Linked DNA regions of Sus scrofa. The protein of the gene in region 1 purifies or fractionates together with the protein of each later gene. This does not show direct contact. Links are inferred from orthologs where the notes say so. Each region holds a gene or a part of one and is shown in the gene's direction. Other genes may lie near its edges.

The links.
Region 2: the proteins of GARS (region 1) and IARS fractionate together in Homo sapiens (co-fractionation; 3 studies listed by BioGRID). This does not show direct contact. The link is inferred for Sus scrofa from reciprocal best matches to the Homo sapiens genes GARS1 and IARS1.
Region 3: the proteins of GARS (region 1) and GFPT1 fractionate together in Homo sapiens (co-fractionation; 3 studies listed by BioGRID, with this or other methods). This does not show direct contact. The link is inferred for Sus scrofa from reciprocal best matches to the Homo sapiens genes GARS1 and GFPT1.

Annotation. Positions count from the first base shown.
Region 1 is NC_010460.4:42,338,120-42,343,538, reverse strand, and holds part of GARS (glycine--tRNA ligase), read left to right. Parts: intron 1-1,046; coding exon 1,047-1,148; intron 1,149-2,131; coding exon 2,132-2,234; intron 2,235-3,514; coding exon 3,515-3,656; intron 3,657-4,400; coding exon 4,401-4,489; intron 4,490-4,983; coding exon 4,984-5,060; intron 5,061-5,419. UniProt on the Homo sapiens protein: Catalyzes the ATP-dependent ligation of glycine to the 3'-end of its cognate tRNA, via the formation of an aminoacyl-adenylate intermediate (Gly-AMP).
Region 2 is NC_010445.4:41,984,067-41,989,485, reverse strand, and holds part of IARS (isoleucine--tRNA ligase, cytoplasmic), read left to right. Parts: intron 1-2,311; coding exon 2,312-2,438; intron 2,439-4,064; coding exon 4,065-4,138; intron 4,139-4,521; coding exon 4,522-4,716; intron 4,717-5,419. UniProt on the Homo sapiens protein: Catalyzes the specific attachment of an amino acid to its cognate tRNA in a 2 step reaction: the amino acid (AA) is first activated by ATP to form AA-AMP and then transferred to the acceptor end of the tRNA.
Region 3 is NC_010445.4:73,026,116-73,032,150, forward strand, and holds the start of GFPT1 (glutamine--fructose-6-phosphate aminotransferase [isomerizing] 1), read left to right. Parts: upstream 1-2,634; 5' UTR 2,635-2,835; coding exon 2,836-2,842; intron 2,843-6,035.

The DNA of each region.
Region 1 (5,419 bases):
GGTTTATTTCCAGATGATCTGGGTGGTTCCTTTTCAAGTCCCCTGATTGTGTTTGGTAGTCTCTGGTTCTTCGATCATGTTTTTGAGTCCTCCTTTTATTTTACTTTAAACATCTTGAGCATTTAAAAAATATATTTGATCATCCTAATATTTTAAGGGATCTAATTTTGTTTCACTCATGGTAGCTTTTTCCTCATAGGTTTTTAAGTTTTGGGTTATTATTTTGGTGACCTTAACATGTGGAAATCCTAAAAGGCCTGTGTGGAAGGTCTGCTTGTCCAGAGGGCAGTTGCTTCTCTGGGGCACCCAAGGGCTCTATTACTTTGGCAACTTTAATTTCTCAGCTTGAAGTTTCCCAGACTGTGTAGTACAGTGTTTTTATTTCCTTTCTCACTGTACAAGTGGTAGGTTGTTGCAAGTGAGAAAAGTAGTCTAAAAGAAATTAACCAGGCGAAGTTCCCTTGTGGCACAGTGAGTTAAGGATCTGCCATTGCCACATCTGTGGCACAGGTTGCAACTGTGGAGAGGGGTCAGTCCCCAGCCTGGGAACCTCCACATTCTGTGGGTGCCACCAAAAAAGGAAAAAGAAAAAGAAATTAGCAAGGGAGATAAGCCAGTAGTAACTGAGAAGACACGGTCAGAGAGCTAAGTGGAAAACTAAGACAGTCGTTTTTTTGTAAGCGAGAAAGGGGAGAGACTCACGGAGAGGGTGGTCTGTTGGTTCTTCTGTGTTCTCAGTACTGACTTAGCTCTTCACTTTTTGTCAGTGCTTTTCTCTCCTCCATCCATCCAGTCCTCACAAAGAGAAAAAACAAACCAGTAGTAATCACCCTGTGAGCATGGTTATTTATGTACTCATCTGTATATTCTGCTGGATTATAAAGGCTGAGGGCAGAGACCTTCAGTTATTCATAAGGAACTTTTTTTCACATAGTAAACATTTGAATTTCCTCATTCTTACACTTTTTACAAGGCGTGCTTCAAAATGCTTTTCTTGACTTCTGGAAACCAACCAGTCCTGAATACGCATTCTCTTGGTTGCCTAGGGAGACCTTGTGCGAAAACTGAAAGAAGATAAAGCACCCCAAGTAGATGTAGACAAAGCAGTCGCTGAGCTCAAAGCCCGGAAGAGGGTTCTGGAAGCAAAGGTGAGTCTAGGGGATCCTGAAAAAGGAACATAAGTAGGTATAGAATTATTCACCTTTATTTAGTCTCTTTGGGTGGGAGAGACCTAGAAAAGTTTCTGAATTAGTCACATTTGCTGTATCTCTACTTACCCAGAATCCTCTCCTCCTCCTCTACTTGGCAGACTCCTCACCCCTTCTGCGTATAACTCAAAATGTCACGTTTTCTCAAAGCCTTCCTCCTCCCTGACCCATCCCTTCTCTGCCCTGACTTACATCCTAGGCTGGTTATGTTCCATGAATGTTCCTGGAAGGCATTGTGTTCTTATGAATTCCCTGATGTCTGCAAATAATAGTGATGATGTTTTAAATTTTTTTCTCTTAAGGTAAAGTTCTATTCACCTGATACATGCTCCCGAACTTTCAAATTATAAATTTCCCATCACCAAACTGGAATAGTTTGAAGTTTTTGTTTGTTTGTTTGTTTGTTTTTATCTTTTCTAGGGCTGCATCTGCGGCATATGGAGGTTCCCAGGCTAGGGCTTGAATCAGAGCAGTAGCGGCTGGCCTACACCACAGCTCATGGCAACGTTGGATCCTTAACCCACTGAGCGAGGCCAGGGATTGAACCCACAACTTTATGGTTTCTAGTCGGATTCGTTAACCACTGAGCCGCAACAGGAACTCCCAGTTTGAAGTTTTAAGTCACTTTCCCTACAGTGATCCACTGAAAAATCAAGTATTGGTTCAGTATCTGCATCTAAGTAAGCTTAGTCTGATAGTCTTGGAAATGATCACACACTTTCCTAAATAGTTAAGTAAGGGTGTCTTTTCTGGAACTCAAAGGGGAAAACACCCTAAGGTTTCTCTTGTTTTAAGGGTCTCCAAATCTTGTCTGATAAATTTTATACTGAATTCTGCTGAGGAATAAAACAAATTCATGTGTGTAAATTGAAATTCCCACTCACTCCTCCAGTCATGTATTTTCTCTTTAAAAATCCCTATAGGAGCTAGCGTTACAGCCCAAAGATGATGTGGTAGACAGAGCAAAAATGGAAGATACCCTGAAGAGGAGGTTTTTCTACGATCAAGCTTTTGCTATTTATGGAGGTAGGGAACTGATGAGAGAAAGAACAATTGTGTTGTTAGTGGATTTAATAATCTTTTTTTTTTTTTTCCTTTTTTTAGGTCCGCAACTGCGGCACATGGAAGTTCCCAGGCCAGGGGTTGAATCGAAGCTGCAGCTGCTGGCCTACACCACAGCCACAGCAACACCATATCTGAGCCATGTCTGCGACCTACACCTCAGCCCACAGCAACACCAGATCCCTAACCCACTGAACAAGACCAGGGATCAAACCCACATCCTCATGGATGCTAAGTTGGGTTCTTAACCCACTGAGCTATGACGGGAACTCCTGATTTAATGTTCTTAAATCAGAAACACAGCTTGCCAATTGGTAGCTAATTATATCCGGTCACACGAAGCAGAGGCTAGTTATCTTGCTGTCATTTGTTTCGAGTTGGTCACTTGGTGTGATGTCTGTTCTTGTTTCCCTACACCCTCCTTGTTCTTGAAGGCGACTTTTTGCATTAGGACTTAGGGAATTAAGGGGGGTCCCGATATTAAACACTTGATGTGTCCATGCCAGTGGAGCCTAGGGAGCAGGAGGGGCCATTGTACACTGGCCGACTGCACTGTGCCCCTGCACACAAGGGCTTGATAAACCATAGTTCCTAGATCAGTCATTGTGGCAGCTGCCAGGAGAGAACGTGCTTCATAGGTACGCAAATACATCTGCATCTTTTCTGAACACCACGTGAATTTATGTAGACAAATATAATTCACTGATTAAATGTAGAATGGTATTTTTCATAGTTTTCAGAGATTATTGCAACAATATTAGACTTTCAGTACTTTGCTACCGACCTTGATTTGAGTTTTAGTCTGAGCAGATCTCTAAGTGTTTAACTTCTTGAGGTTTAAATGGTGGCTCAAATACTCAAGAATATTTTAGAGAATTGGCTACTAAAATTTGAGATCATATTTATTCAGCTGATACAACAAATTATTTTCTGATTTCTATAGCAGAAATCTATAATCTGCCTTTGCATTCTTTCTTATATATGGAGGAAGGTCTTTTTACTTTTTCTAGTTTTTTGCTAATCCTACCTGAAATTTCAAGTTTGGAAATAGTAAATGGAATGAGAGTATTTTCATTTTACCTCTCTGTCAGCTAGCTGAAAATAAGGCTCTTCAGTATTGAGGAATTTGAATACATTTTTAGGGAGTAAGCGAAGTCTTAAAAGTATCAGTTTCTTGTGTCTCCTTGCTTTAATTTGTTCAGAGTAACAAGGGAAAGTACCCGTTTTCCTCCTGTATTTTGCAGGTGTTAGTGGCCTCTATGATTTTGGGCCAGTTGGATGTGCTTTGAAGAACAATATTATTCAGACCTGGAGGCAGCACTTTATCCAAGAGGAACAGATCCTGGAGATTGATTGCACCATGCTCACCCCCGAGCCAGTTTTAAAGTAAGATTTCTAGTTTGAGGTGGAAATTCTAACTAACTTTTTCTGATTAAAAAAACTACCCATGTTCATTGTGAAAATCTAGAAAATAAAGAAAAACAGAAAATATTTACTGCCCACAGATAGCCATGTTAAAAATGTTGTATTTATCCTTCCTGTCTTTTTTTAAATTTAAATTTTTATTTTTATTTATTTTGTTGTCTATTTTTGGCTGTGCCTATGGTATTCAGAAGTCCCCAGGCCAAGGATCAAACCCTCACCACAACCTGCTGAGCTGCAAGGGAATTCAGCCAATTAAAACAAATTGAGTTCTTAATGATGGATATAAGATCAGAACAACCAATTCTTTACTCCTTGCTCCACTTTTGGGAACTGCGTAGAGATAAATACCAGTGTCCATGCAGGTTTTGGTGGCAGAAAAATCCTTTAGGTTCATTGTCTATACTGAGTTATCACAAATTCTTGGGTAGTCAGAATCCTCGTGTTTTGGACTTTGCTTGGATCACTAATAATAATGAGACAGCAGTGACAATGCCATACCCTTAACTCACTAGGCCACGGGGAACTCCAGGCATACATTTTTATCTGCTGTGGGATGGATCATAATAGATATGGAAGCTTTCATCTTTCAGATTCACAGATGTAAACTATGGCTAAACATATAGAAGGGAGATTGTCTTACAAGGTAAAAATCTATGTGTTAATTCGTATGAAAATGACTAATTGGCTTGGCATTTATTAACTTAGGACCTCTGGCCACGTAGACAAGTTTGCTGATTTCATGGTGAAGGATGTCAAAAATGGAGAGTGTTTTCGGGCTGACCATCTGTTGAAAGGTATGGTTCTTTATCTCAGATAAATATCCTTTCAAGTAGTTGATCAAAACAAAGGCTTTGGATTAATCTTTAATCTCAAATATTTTTCATTATGTTTTTTTCTTGGGATGTAACATACAAAGAGTAAGTGCACAGATCTTATAAGTATACAGATCTAGTCCCTCATTTAAAAAAAATATATATATGTGTGTGTGTGTGTGTATATATATGTGTGTGTGTGTATATATATATGTGTGTGTGTGTGTATATGTGTGTGTGTGTGTATATGTGTGTGTGTGTGTGTACACGTATAAGATCATTGGAAATTCTAATGCACCAAAAGAACCAAGACAATACTATGACTCTCCCTGTAAAATCAACCATGGGATTCATATAAATTAAGAACATTATCCTTGGGTTCATTTTTTTTACCTGTCCAGCGTTGACACTCAAAAGTACATGGTCCTTTTTTTCTGACCGATCGAAATTGACATTTACCAACCCTGTTTTTGTAGCTCATTTACAGAAATTGATGTCTGACAAGAAGTGCTCTGCTGAGAAGAAATCAGAGATGGAAAGTGTCTTGGCCCAGGTGAGTGCTTGAGAGATGTCATCACAGTAACCCAGGTAGGTGCTGTCTGTCTTTCAGCATCTGATAACTGTCGGATTCCGCACGTGCTGACCTGGTCACCGCTGTAAAGAAGTTTACTTTCTGTCCCTTGTGCCATCTCTTTTTGCGTTTTTATTTGCTTCTCTGTCTACTCTTTGTGGCTAATCCTTTATTTCTATCAAACTGGGCAGGTCAGTGAAAACAGACATGAAATTAGTTCTCTCTCCTCGGAAACTAATTGTCTGGATTTAATGGCAAAAATCAGGGCAGTCTCTAATGGTGACTCGCATTCAGCATGGAGGTTTGGGGCAGGCATGTATATGAGCGCTGTCTCATGGCCA
Region 2 (5,419 bases), on another chromosome or scaffold:
AAATAACTGTCATTTTAAGGATAAACATTTATTTTTGGATGTATGTACAGAAGCCATTGACATTTACTATTTTGGACACTTGTTGGACTCCTAAAACACCATGATGTCTTGTGCACACTGACTTCATGGGTAAGCACTTCAGCTTCAGAAGCCTTGCTCCCCTCAGCTAATATCTAAACTTTAGAGAGGTGTTAGAGTACTCCCCCCTTCTTCCATGGGGGTTCTGTTTCAAGACCCCCAGTGGATACCTGAAACCAAAAGTAGTACCAAACCCTACGCTGTATGTGCAGTGTTCTTCATGTACTTACATACCTACGATAAAGTTTAATTCATAAATATTCAGTAATAGAATATCTGAATTTCTGACATCACTGCTTTTGCACTTTGGGGCCACTATTGAGTAAAATAAAGAGTTGTTTGAACACGGGAGCTGAGATAACCAGCAATGGGTTGTAACCGCCGAGGTGGCTATTAGGTGGCCAACGGGCAGGTAGTACACACAGCCTGGATACTCCTGACCAAGGGATAGTTCAGTCCCCAAGCAGGGTGGAGTGCAAGGGCACAACTCCTCATGCTGCCTAGGACTGTGTGCAACTTAAAACCTAAGACCTTTTTTTTGCTTTTTGGGGCTGCACTCATGGTATATGGAGGTTCCCAGGCTGGGGTCAAATTGGAGCTGGAGCTGCCAGCCTACACCACAGCCACAGCAGCATAGGATCCGAGCTGCGTTTGCGACCTATGCCACACATCTCACGGCAACACCAGATCCTTAACCCACTGAACAAGGCCAGGGATCAAACCCACAACCTCATGGTTCCTTGTCAGATTCATTTCTGCTGAGCCATGATGGCAACTCCAAAACTTAAGAATTTTTTATTCCTGAAGTTTTCCTTTTAAGCTATTTGGACCACAGTTGACTGTGGGTAACTGAAACCACATTAAGTGAAACTGCAGATAAGGGGGACTACTATACTTCAACCTATAGATGCAAATATGATATAAGATTATGTATTCCAGAAGAATGTTTTTCACTGAAAGTTTTGAGGGTAATCGCTCTTTCTTAATTCCCCCAAGAATCCAACTTGACTTTAAAAACTGCATTTGATTTTGGAAGAATGGGGAAATCTCAGGGCAATAAAAGGAAACTATAGCTTTCTTTATTTCTTAGCAAAGTGACTCTGATTTCTTAAAAAGCAATTTTTTGACTTTTATACTTAAGAAGCTCTTTAGTTTCCTAGTGGAGTGCTACGTATGGAATATTAGTATGGTGTCATCGTTGGACGGGGTGGAAATGTGCTGAGAGAGGGAGGTCCAGGCCTCTAAGTTGACTCAGGATGGTAACTGCAGCACCTGAGAAGACAGGATGTTTGGGAGCCTAGAAGTGCCCTAATTCTGCTTTGGGCTTGGGAATGTTTCTTACAAAGCTGAACTTTAAAGGATAAGGAGTCATTGACTAGCCAGAGACAGTAGGAGCCTTGGGGAAGGAAGGTGGTAGAGGATATTATCAAGGTGGAGGGAAAGGCAGTGAGGTGAGAAGCTGCATTCTAAGGAACTTGCCTTAAGGCTAGCAGGGGGACTACAGGTGAGCCTGGGAGAGGCAGCTACCCACCCACTACAGATAGCCCACCTGTTTTTCGTACTCTTACTTTGTTTTGTTTTTTTGTTTGTTTGTTTGTTTTGTTTTTTTAGGGCCGCACCCTAGGTTCCCAGGCTAGGGGTCTAATCAGAGCTGTAGCTACTGGCCTATGCCACAGCCACAGCCACAGCAATTCAGGATCCGAGCTGCATCTGTTGACCTACACCACAGGTCACAGCAATGCTGGATCCTTAACCCACTGAGTGAGGCAGGGATTGAACCTGTGTCCTCATGAATACCAGTCAAATTCGTTTCCACTGAGCCACGACAGGAACTCCTCGGACTCTTACTTTGTAGATGATCAAGAGGCCCTGCTAATGAGTTTGAGTAAAAGCATTTGTTGTGTGTATGATCTGAAGACTAGGTCTGAGTGGGAATTGGCTGGCTGTGATAATGGGATTGCTTAAGGGACTGGGGCAGTCCTCCAGGTGGAGAGCGGGACAGGAAAGCTTGTGTACGGTGGGGTTTCATAACACAAAGCATCTTTCCTGGGATGAATTCACAGCAGCAGCGGCCACTATGGGTCTGCTGTCCTGTCCGTGCAGAAAACATCCTCCTAGGAGTGAGCTCAGTGCTGGGAGAGCATTAGGTTCACAAAGCTTTATACAAAGGGTCTAGTTTACAAGTTTACTCACTGATGTTCCTATGTGATTGGTTATTAACTATTTATTGCAGGGTCCCAGAGTTTGTGCGTGAAAAGCGATTTGGAAATTGGCTGAAAGATGCACGTGACTGGGCAATTTCCAGAAACAGATACTGGGGCACTCCTATCCCACTGTGGGTCAGTGATGACTTCGAGGAGGTGAGGCAGGGCAGTGTTTCCTTTCGTTGATCTCTGTTGAAGTACTTCATTCATGCATCTCAAGGTGGTGTAAAAGAGTATTTATTTCTTTTTTTATTTGCCCCTTTCTTTTTTCATCAATTATTTTTTCTCTGTTCCTTCCTAGAATCATGACAAATAAGAGTATGTTTTCAGGGTTTTAATTTGTTTTTACTTTACTTTTATTTTAAATGTAAGTATTTTCCCTCTGTGTAAAAGTGAAGGGTACAGTTTGTATTTTTCTCAGGGAAATCCTTACATTGTTTTTTTTTTGTGTTACTCAGATCTCTTTTTCTCCTTGTGAGTTTTTCATGGACAGAGCAGACTCCACACCCTGCACTAAGTCACAGCATATTAAACTGACCTTGGAGTAATTGAAAAGGACAATTTAAGGAGTTCCTGCTGTGGCACAGTGGGATCGGTGGCATCTTGGGAGCCCTGGGATGCAGATTTGATTCCCCAGCCCAGCACAGTGGGTTAAGGATCCAGTCGCAGCTATAGCTCGGATCTGATCCCTGGCCGGGGAACTCCATATACCATGGGGTGGCCACAAAGTAGGGGAGCACTTAAAAGAAATTAGCAAAGCATTGCAAACCTTTATAAAATCAAGTGTTTCTTCGTGTATCTCTTTATAAGTACATACAGATGTACAGGAAGTGCATATATATGTGTGTCTCTATATAAATATGTACATACATATAGAAGGTATTCCCTTCTATCCAGGGCTGAGAGTGATAGAACAGTCATGAGTAGTAGCAACCCTGGGACCTCAGTAAATCTCCAACAGGGACCTAAAAGGCAACAGTGAAGGCTGAATTGGAGGACTTTTCAGGACTGAGCAGGAAGGGCAGAGAAAAAGGATGTGGGTGTTCATTATGTAGCAGATGACCTCTCGGGGCGAACATGCAACTGTTTCTGCTGGTATGGCCCAGCTGCTTAGCCTCTGTCGATGTCTCCCCCTGTCCTAAGTGTCCCTGCTGGACCCTTTCCCAGCCTCCTTACATGAGCATAATCCTATTATCTTGCAGTCTGATCATTTCATCCAGTCCATGCACACTACATCAGTTCTAGTTTTGGCTTGGAAAGATTTCAGATTAAAGAGACAAATTCAAATGCCAGGAAGAAACTAAGATACCTTAGAGCAATAGTCTAGGCAGTTTCACTTAAGCTGTTTATTTTTGGCAGAGATTTGGGCATCATAAGCCTTCAAGAAATACTTACTGAAATGGTGGGATTAAACTCTCTCCATGTAGGAGTCCCCTCTGATATGGGGGAGGCAGCAAAGAAGTGAGCCCTGCTCTACTTGTTTATACAGGGACTTCGGGCACAATAGGTTAAAGATCCAGTATAGCCACAGCTGTGGCATAGGTGGCAGTTGCGACACAGGTTTAATTCCTAGCCTAGGAACTTCCACGTGCCATGGGAGCGGCAAAAAATAAACAAGACTGTAGGTCATGAACGGCTGAGGGTGAGCCACATTGATTGCAAACGTCTTGAAGATCAAAGGTTTCTCAAACTAAATGTGAATTAACATATAAAGTAATATAAAGTAACTCTGTGTGATCCTTGGCTCTGAGGCACTCTGGCTTTTTAACTTTGTTTTGACAGGTAGTGTGCATTGGGTCAGTGGCAGAACTTGAAGAACTATCAGGAGCAAAGGTCTCAGATCTCCACAGAGAGAGGTCAGTTTCTGAATGTTTGGTGCACTTCAGTTCTATTCTGAGAGTATCGGGCTAGGTCCTAGCCAGTTTGAACATGGCCTCTATAGCAGATCACAGAGTCACATGTAGAAATCAAACACTAGATTGCTCGATTACTTTGTTGTTGATGATTCTGAGGAAAGGTGGCCTCTGTCCTTGAGTTAAGTGTCAGGAGACTTTGGCATATATATAACCTTTCAGATTGAGCACTCATAGTGCTCTCTGAAAACCTGTGATAACTGTCAGTATTTCTGTTTGCAGATGCATATGAAAGCTGTGAGGGCATTCTGTTTCCTCTTGGCAATTAAACTGTAAGTTATGTTTTGCTTAAAGTTAATAGAAATGGCTACTTCTTTGTTTATTAGCATTGACCACCTGACCATTCCTTCACGCTGTGGGAAAGGATTGTTGCATCGCATCTCTGAAGTGTTTGACTGTTGGTTCGAGAGTGGCAGCATGCCCTATGCTCAGATTCATTATCCATTTGAAAACAAGAGGGAGTTTGAGGATTCATTTCCTGCAGACTTCATTGCTGAAGGCATTGACCAAACCAGAGGATGGTATGTTCCTTGTTCTTTTGAAATGTTTTATTGATTTGATTTGATGTGATTTGATTTAGCAGGTTAACTGAGCACCTAGCACTTGAAGTGCTGGGGAGATTATGTTAAGCAAGACAGGCTTTGCTCCTGCCCTCTGTCTCTCACCACCAAACATCCCATAAAAGTATCTTTTCAGTAAGAATCTCTCAGAACTCTAGGGCTGTAGCTTCAAATTATAGTTTGAATTATTTGACATTTTGGAATACAGAGATTTGTTATATTAGAAGAATAGGTGATACAAAACAGTGTTTACTTTTGTTTACTTTAAAACAATGTCCTCTATTCAAGTCATTTACTCGAATGTTTAGTATTTACATACAAGATGATGTGTTGGGTGCTACAAATTTGAGGGAGCATTGAAAATATACTCAAATGTTAAGGCTAGCTTTATAAAATTAATATTCTTAAAAAATCCAGATGGGTGTGGGGGGGAGCATAGGGAGCATTTTGGCATTGATCTCATCAGGCGCCTTATCTAAAACAGTACTCTCATTTTCTTAATTAGAAAAAGATGAGTTATCTTCACTTCATGGATGAGCTTGGCTGACCCAGGTTCTGATTATACTTTCCATTAGTAATGTTTCTGCAGGAGTGTTTAAGGAATATTGGTGTCATCAGACGGTCCCATATAACCTCATATTAAAGGCAGTACGCCTCTCTGGAT
Region 3 (6,035 bases), on another chromosome or scaffold:
TGACAGGCATGGACTATAAGACATGTGGCAAAGACATTATGATCCAGGCCAGACAGTAAGTAAGTTCTAAAAGCTTACTGAACCCAGAAAAGCTTACTTCTTTGACCTGAGCTGTAGTGGTCCCTTTGTCTGCTCCCTTTTTACAAACCATTATGCAAAGGCCAATAATGTTGCCTAAGACAGGTGTCTGTCTCACTAGGCTAACACTAGAGACAGTAAGGAGCTCACGGCGACTAAGGAGGAAGGATTTCATTGTGTAGTAACACTTGCCACCTCTTCTCTCTCAGTAATTGGGGATACTGACCAACATCAAAGACAAATACATAATTAACATTCATTAAAAACTTAGAACCATGAGTTCCTGTCATGACTCAGAAGTGAATCTGACTAGCATCCATGAAGACACAGGTTCAATCCCTGGCCTCACTCAGTGGGTCAAGGATCCAGCGTGCCCGTGGGCTGTGGTATAGGTCTCAGATGCCGCCCCGATCCCACATTGCTATGGCTGTGGTGTAGGCCAGGGGCCACAGCTCCGATTTTACCCCCAGCCTGGGAACCTCCACATGTCATGGGTGTGGCCTCAAAAAGACAAAAACAAACAAATGAAAAAACCTTAGGACCAAGTTCTACTTTTCCTTAAAATGTAGGAAGATACAAGGGAATATTACTCTACCCAAACAACAAGAAGGAGCTGGATAATATACAGATTATAATATTTATCGAGCCCAGCAGAGAGGAGAGACAGCAAAGCAAACAAGGAAACTGGATTCCAAAGGGTGACAAGTGGAGATGGAGGCTCCCACAAAAGAAATCAGCTAAATTTTAATGAATTCTTAAAGGGAAAAGTGTAGACTAGTGCAACAGTATGAAAGAGCTGGGGGTCTCAGACACAAGAGGAGTTTGTTCCCTGAGCTGCCACCAAGTAGCTCTCTAGAAGGATTTGGAGCAGGCAGGGGACAGAGAGAGCCTTTCAGGATGGCACAGGCCCCCGGGAGATGGCCAGGAGCGGCTGGCAGACAGGCATGAAGCCCTAGCCACTTTCCCAACCCATCTCTCAGACAAAGCCAAAGTCTTAAGCCACTGGGCAGCAAATTCTCTTACCCTAGGACCAAGAAAAACAGTCTACTGCTGCCACTGCATGTATCTTTTTTAATCAGAGTTTTCATCTTTTCCAGATAATGCTAAAAGGGCATCTTTTCCCCTCTAAGAAAAACTGAAAAGCCCTTTGCTCACTTAATCAGGTAACTAGCCTTAGGAAGGCAAATCTGCTAGGAACATTTTTTTTTTCCCACTTGTTTTTTTCATTCATTCAACATTTTGGTCCCTTTTTGCTAGGGCTTATACTAGATGTCGGGTTTGCAAAGACTATAGCCTTAAGAAACAGCTTTGTAGGGAAATATATTTTTTAAAAAATCATAAAATATAGAAGCATGTTGCTTTAAGGGGGGCAGTTCAAAGAATGTGAGGTGAATGAATGTCCTTAAGTCTCTGGGGAAGACACAAAGGGTTTTCTCCAAGAGGCAGCATTTAGGCAGAGGTGGAGTGAGGATTCCAAAGAGTAAAAAAGGTGTGAGAATGTGAGCCCACTCGGGACTACCTGCTCCCAGGTTTGTTGGAGTGTAAAGTGTTGAAAGGTGCGGAAGGGAGAGAGCAGTAGTGTGAGCTAAGACCAAACACCTAGGATAAGAAGATCATGCACTGTTCTGTATGTTCCCTAAGTTTTTATTTTATTCTAGTCTTGGGCCATTAATAGAGTTATGATAACCATCTACATTTGATTAAAGATAGCATTTAAATCTTAAAGCAAATGCTCAGGTAATAAATTTTCAGAAACATCATCTCTCTCTGATTAAGTCTCTCTTGCCAGCAATGGTGCATTAATTTATAGAATTAATCATTCAGAGTCAAATGTACGTCTACCAAATGGAGGCAGTTCCTACAGTCCTCTCCCGTGGGCCATCTCAAGTCTAGGGTAGCAGAGTTTTTTAAGGCTGGGCGCACAGCGTTCGATAGTTGCGTTGTAAAATTTGACCTCTCCCTCCTCCGCAAAAAACTGGTTTATGGAGCAGTGGATGGGGATCGAAATGGGCAGCAGAGGGTTTTAGAGGCCAAGCATATGATTTTAGAGCTTAAGTCCTGAACTGAATCGTCTGTCACCAGAAAGTCTGGCTGAACCTGACCTCACCTCATAGTTTTTCTTTAACCTTATGTCTCCTTTCCACCTGACTTGTTTGTCCCCTAGGATCAAGCTTCCTGCTTTCTTCCTCCTCTCTCCCCGCTTCCTGGGGGTGCCATAGCTTGAGGCCCTGGTCTGCTCGAGGCGCACTCCCCAAGGCTATTTGCTTTGCTAACAATTCCATCCTGTTTCTTAATCTCTCCGTCATTCCCGGCCAGCCAGCGAGTTCTTTCTCCCCCACAGCGTAGTACCTCCCGCTGCTAGTCAGGGCGGCTCCAGGAACCTCAAGCGGATGCGACCGCGAGCCGGTGCCACGTCTCGGCAGCCAGCAGGCCAGCGCCTGCGTGGGCTCAGGGGCGGGATGGGGCGGAGCGGCGCGGGGAGGCGGGACGTGCCTGTGAGCGGCACGGAAGCGGTCCAATGGGACTTGCGGGCGGCGGCGGCGGCGCGGTGCGCGCCGGGGGGCGGGGCCCGGCGGCGGTTGTTCGCTAGCCCGGGAGGCCGAGACCGCTGTCGTTGCCTCGGCTGTCCGCATCTCTGAGGCTGTAGTGTCGGCTACCCCTTGGCCCCCAAGCCCGGAGATCGTCCCACAGGCTCGTGTGAGCTCCCGAACTCGCCAGCCACTCGCTGTTTCCTGTGCCGACCGTGCCTCCTGCATCATGTGCGGTAAGGGGGCCGCGGGCGGGGGGTGTGTTGCGGGGCGGTGCTGGGGTGCGGTGCGGGCGCCGCTGAGGTTTGGTTGCGCTGGCGGGAACCGGAGTCGGGAGGGTGCGAAGCCTGGGTGTTGGGCAGGGGGCGTCCCGTGGTGACTGCGGGTGCTGGGGGCGGAGGCCGGCCTCTAAGAGCTGGCGGGGTGGTGGTGAACCTAGAAAGGCACCTGAGAGGAGGGCGGGTCCTATAGGGAATCTGGGGGGCCAGAGAGGGCTTTGCACCGAGACACAAACCAGGAGGGAAGAGAAAGGTCTGTATTGGAAAAGGAGCGAGGGCTGAGGGAACTGAGGTGTGGAGGGGAGTGACTTCAGAGTCCACCAGGTGAGTGAGGCAACCTGTGGAACATCAGGTGAGGTCTCTTGAATTTTATTGATTGCATTCGTCCAGGATTTATCTTTTAAAAAATACTGTAGCTGCTTTCTTTCGGGCAGGCCCAGAAGAAATTCGAACCTTAGCTAAAGCTACGACAATGGCATTATGCACGATCTTACTTCCTGCCACCTACCACCCCCCCCCGCAGCGGCGGCCCCCCCCCCGGGGGGGGTCTCAACAGAAACCGTGGCTAATTAATATCTTGTGAATGGGTCCAGACGTGACCCTGGAGATAGATCTTACATCATTTATCATTTACGTGTACCATCCTCTTGAAACACTTGTGAAAAATGTTGGTGAACATTTAGTGACTGTTTTACCTAGAACAGTTAATACATAAAGTTAGGCCCTTTTATTCCATTTTTTGAGACTTAGTCATTTTAATATCGCCTAAAAGTGCGAGTTAAAAGGAATTGTCAGAATTATATCTGGAATGACTGATATGCTCTAAAATTGGTATTTACTTAGCTATCATCAGTAAAAAAGAATTGAGTTCTTACCTTTCTTACTGAAATGTACAACTGACCTAACTCTGGAAGAAGGAATACTTTTTTTAAGGGTGGTATGACTGTAATAGAATTTGAAGCTTTCTGGGGGACTTATTCTTTGTAGCCTTTGTCAAGAGGAACTGAGCAGGAGTTATTTTGTACTCATTAGTGTATATTATTCCCGTGTTTTAACTTTGTGCTAATGTCAGCTTCTGAAATGAGGAGCAGGTTTAAATTTAGAGTAGATTAAAAAAAAAGGCACAAAACAGAAACAACTATAAATAGCTTGTTGAAATTATTAGCTGTAGAGCTGACTTTAGATTCAGTTATTCTTTTGCTATGTCTAGGTAGTAGAATGGTTTTGCAAAAGCAGGTGATTTGGTTTTGATTACTGTGAGGTAATGAATTTGCAAACAGATTAATCCCTAGTGTGCTTTGTTTGGTAATTAACTGTTCCTGAGTGATAAGGTGTGTGCCTAGTCAAGTACCTGACTCTCTGGTTGTGGTCATTTCTTCATCTTGTTCCAGGAAAAAAGGTAGTCAAAGTACAGGTGTATTAAAAGAGAGAAAAAAAAATTAGATTGGTTTAGAAAAAGTTCAGAGAAGGGTGAGGCTTTTAGGGTGGAGATTGGATATTGGGGTTTTCATAACGCCAGTATCCGCATTCCAGTGTTTTACTGCTGAGGAAACAGGTGATAATGAAGAACTAGTATTTGAGGCATTTCTAAGGTCCTGCTTTTAATTTTAACCTCTACCAGAGTTTTACATGATTCCAGGAATAGGGTCCATACTTTATTTCCTCTTTAAGTTCTGAAAGTTTACTGCTAAGAAGATAAGTTTGTCTTCATTTCCCTCCCCCATCTTAATTATTAAAATAAAATTTCTAGGCAGAGAAATTGAGTGGGAATGAGATTAGTTGGGAAAATTTAGAGGTTTACCTTCTAATTACCTGCTGCTTGTTCACATTTCCCTAAAAGATTATTCCCTTTCAACATTGAAGAATGTTGAAGCGAAAGAATGAGGTCTAACAGTTCTTTTTGATATGCCTTTTCCAGTCAGAAATACTGATAAAACTGTTATGAAACTTACCAGATTGTTTCCGGATGTTAATAAGTGTTACTGAGAAGGAAGAAAAGAGATTTTATGGTTAAATAAATTTGAGAAGCAACAGAGTAAACAGTGTTGAACCAGCTTTTTTTTTTTTTTTTTTTAATGGCCAGTCTCAAGGCATATGGAAGTTTCTTGGCCAGGGATTGTATATGAGCCACAGCTGTGACCTACACGCAACTGCTGCAACACTGGATCCTTTAACCTCTGTGTCAGACCCAAGCCATTGCAGTCAGGTTCTTAACCCACTGTGCCACAGTGGGAACTCCTGAACTGGCTTTTTTTAAATTGCAGGACTTACTGGAACATTTAATGTGCTAATAAGCATTATGAATCTCCCAGAGAAAAATAGTGTGCCAATTTTCCGAATGTATTTTGTTATCTTCTTATTCTTGGTTCTTTGGAATTCACTTTGCCGTTTTTAATTTGTTTTACCTTTGGCTTTGTGAAAGAGTCTCAGTTCACTTGAGCTATCCACAGCTTTTAACGGATTTTCTGTTTTTTAGAAATGTGGCGTTATATCCTTCTGGTCTGATGGTATATACAAATGACACACTTGTAAATAATATCATATTTAAAAGCAGTGAGAAAGCTGCAATTAAAAAATATCCTGAAATGAATCCTTAAAATGCTTTTCTCTAATTATACCGTGTAATGACTTTGAGGCTAGTGAGGGATGCTGAGAATGGCTTCTAGGCTAAATCATAAAACTAATATTATTTACATATTCTTAGAAGTCATACTGGGTATAAAGTAGTTGTGAAAGAAAGTAATTGCTTAATGAACATTTCCTCAGATATGTCCCTGGAAAGAGAAGAGTTGATAGGTCCTGGTAATGAGCAGTGGAAGGTAGAAAGAGTTTTGTAATACATAAGTTTGGGAAATTCTGCTTTTGGAGATTCAGTTTTAGGAAGTTCTGCAAATAAACCTGTTAACTTTGTTTAATCCAGTGTTTCTTTTTTTCTTTTTTTTAATGGCTGCACCCGAGGCATTTGGAAGTTCCTGGGCCAGGGATTGAATCTGAGTTGCATCTGCGATCTGTGCCACAGCCATGGCAACACCAGGATTCTTTAACTCTCTTGCATTGAGTGGGGAATCGAATCTGTACCTCCTCAGCACCCTGAGCTGCTGCAGTCAGATTCTTAACCCACTGTACCACAGTGGGAACTCAAATTCAGTAT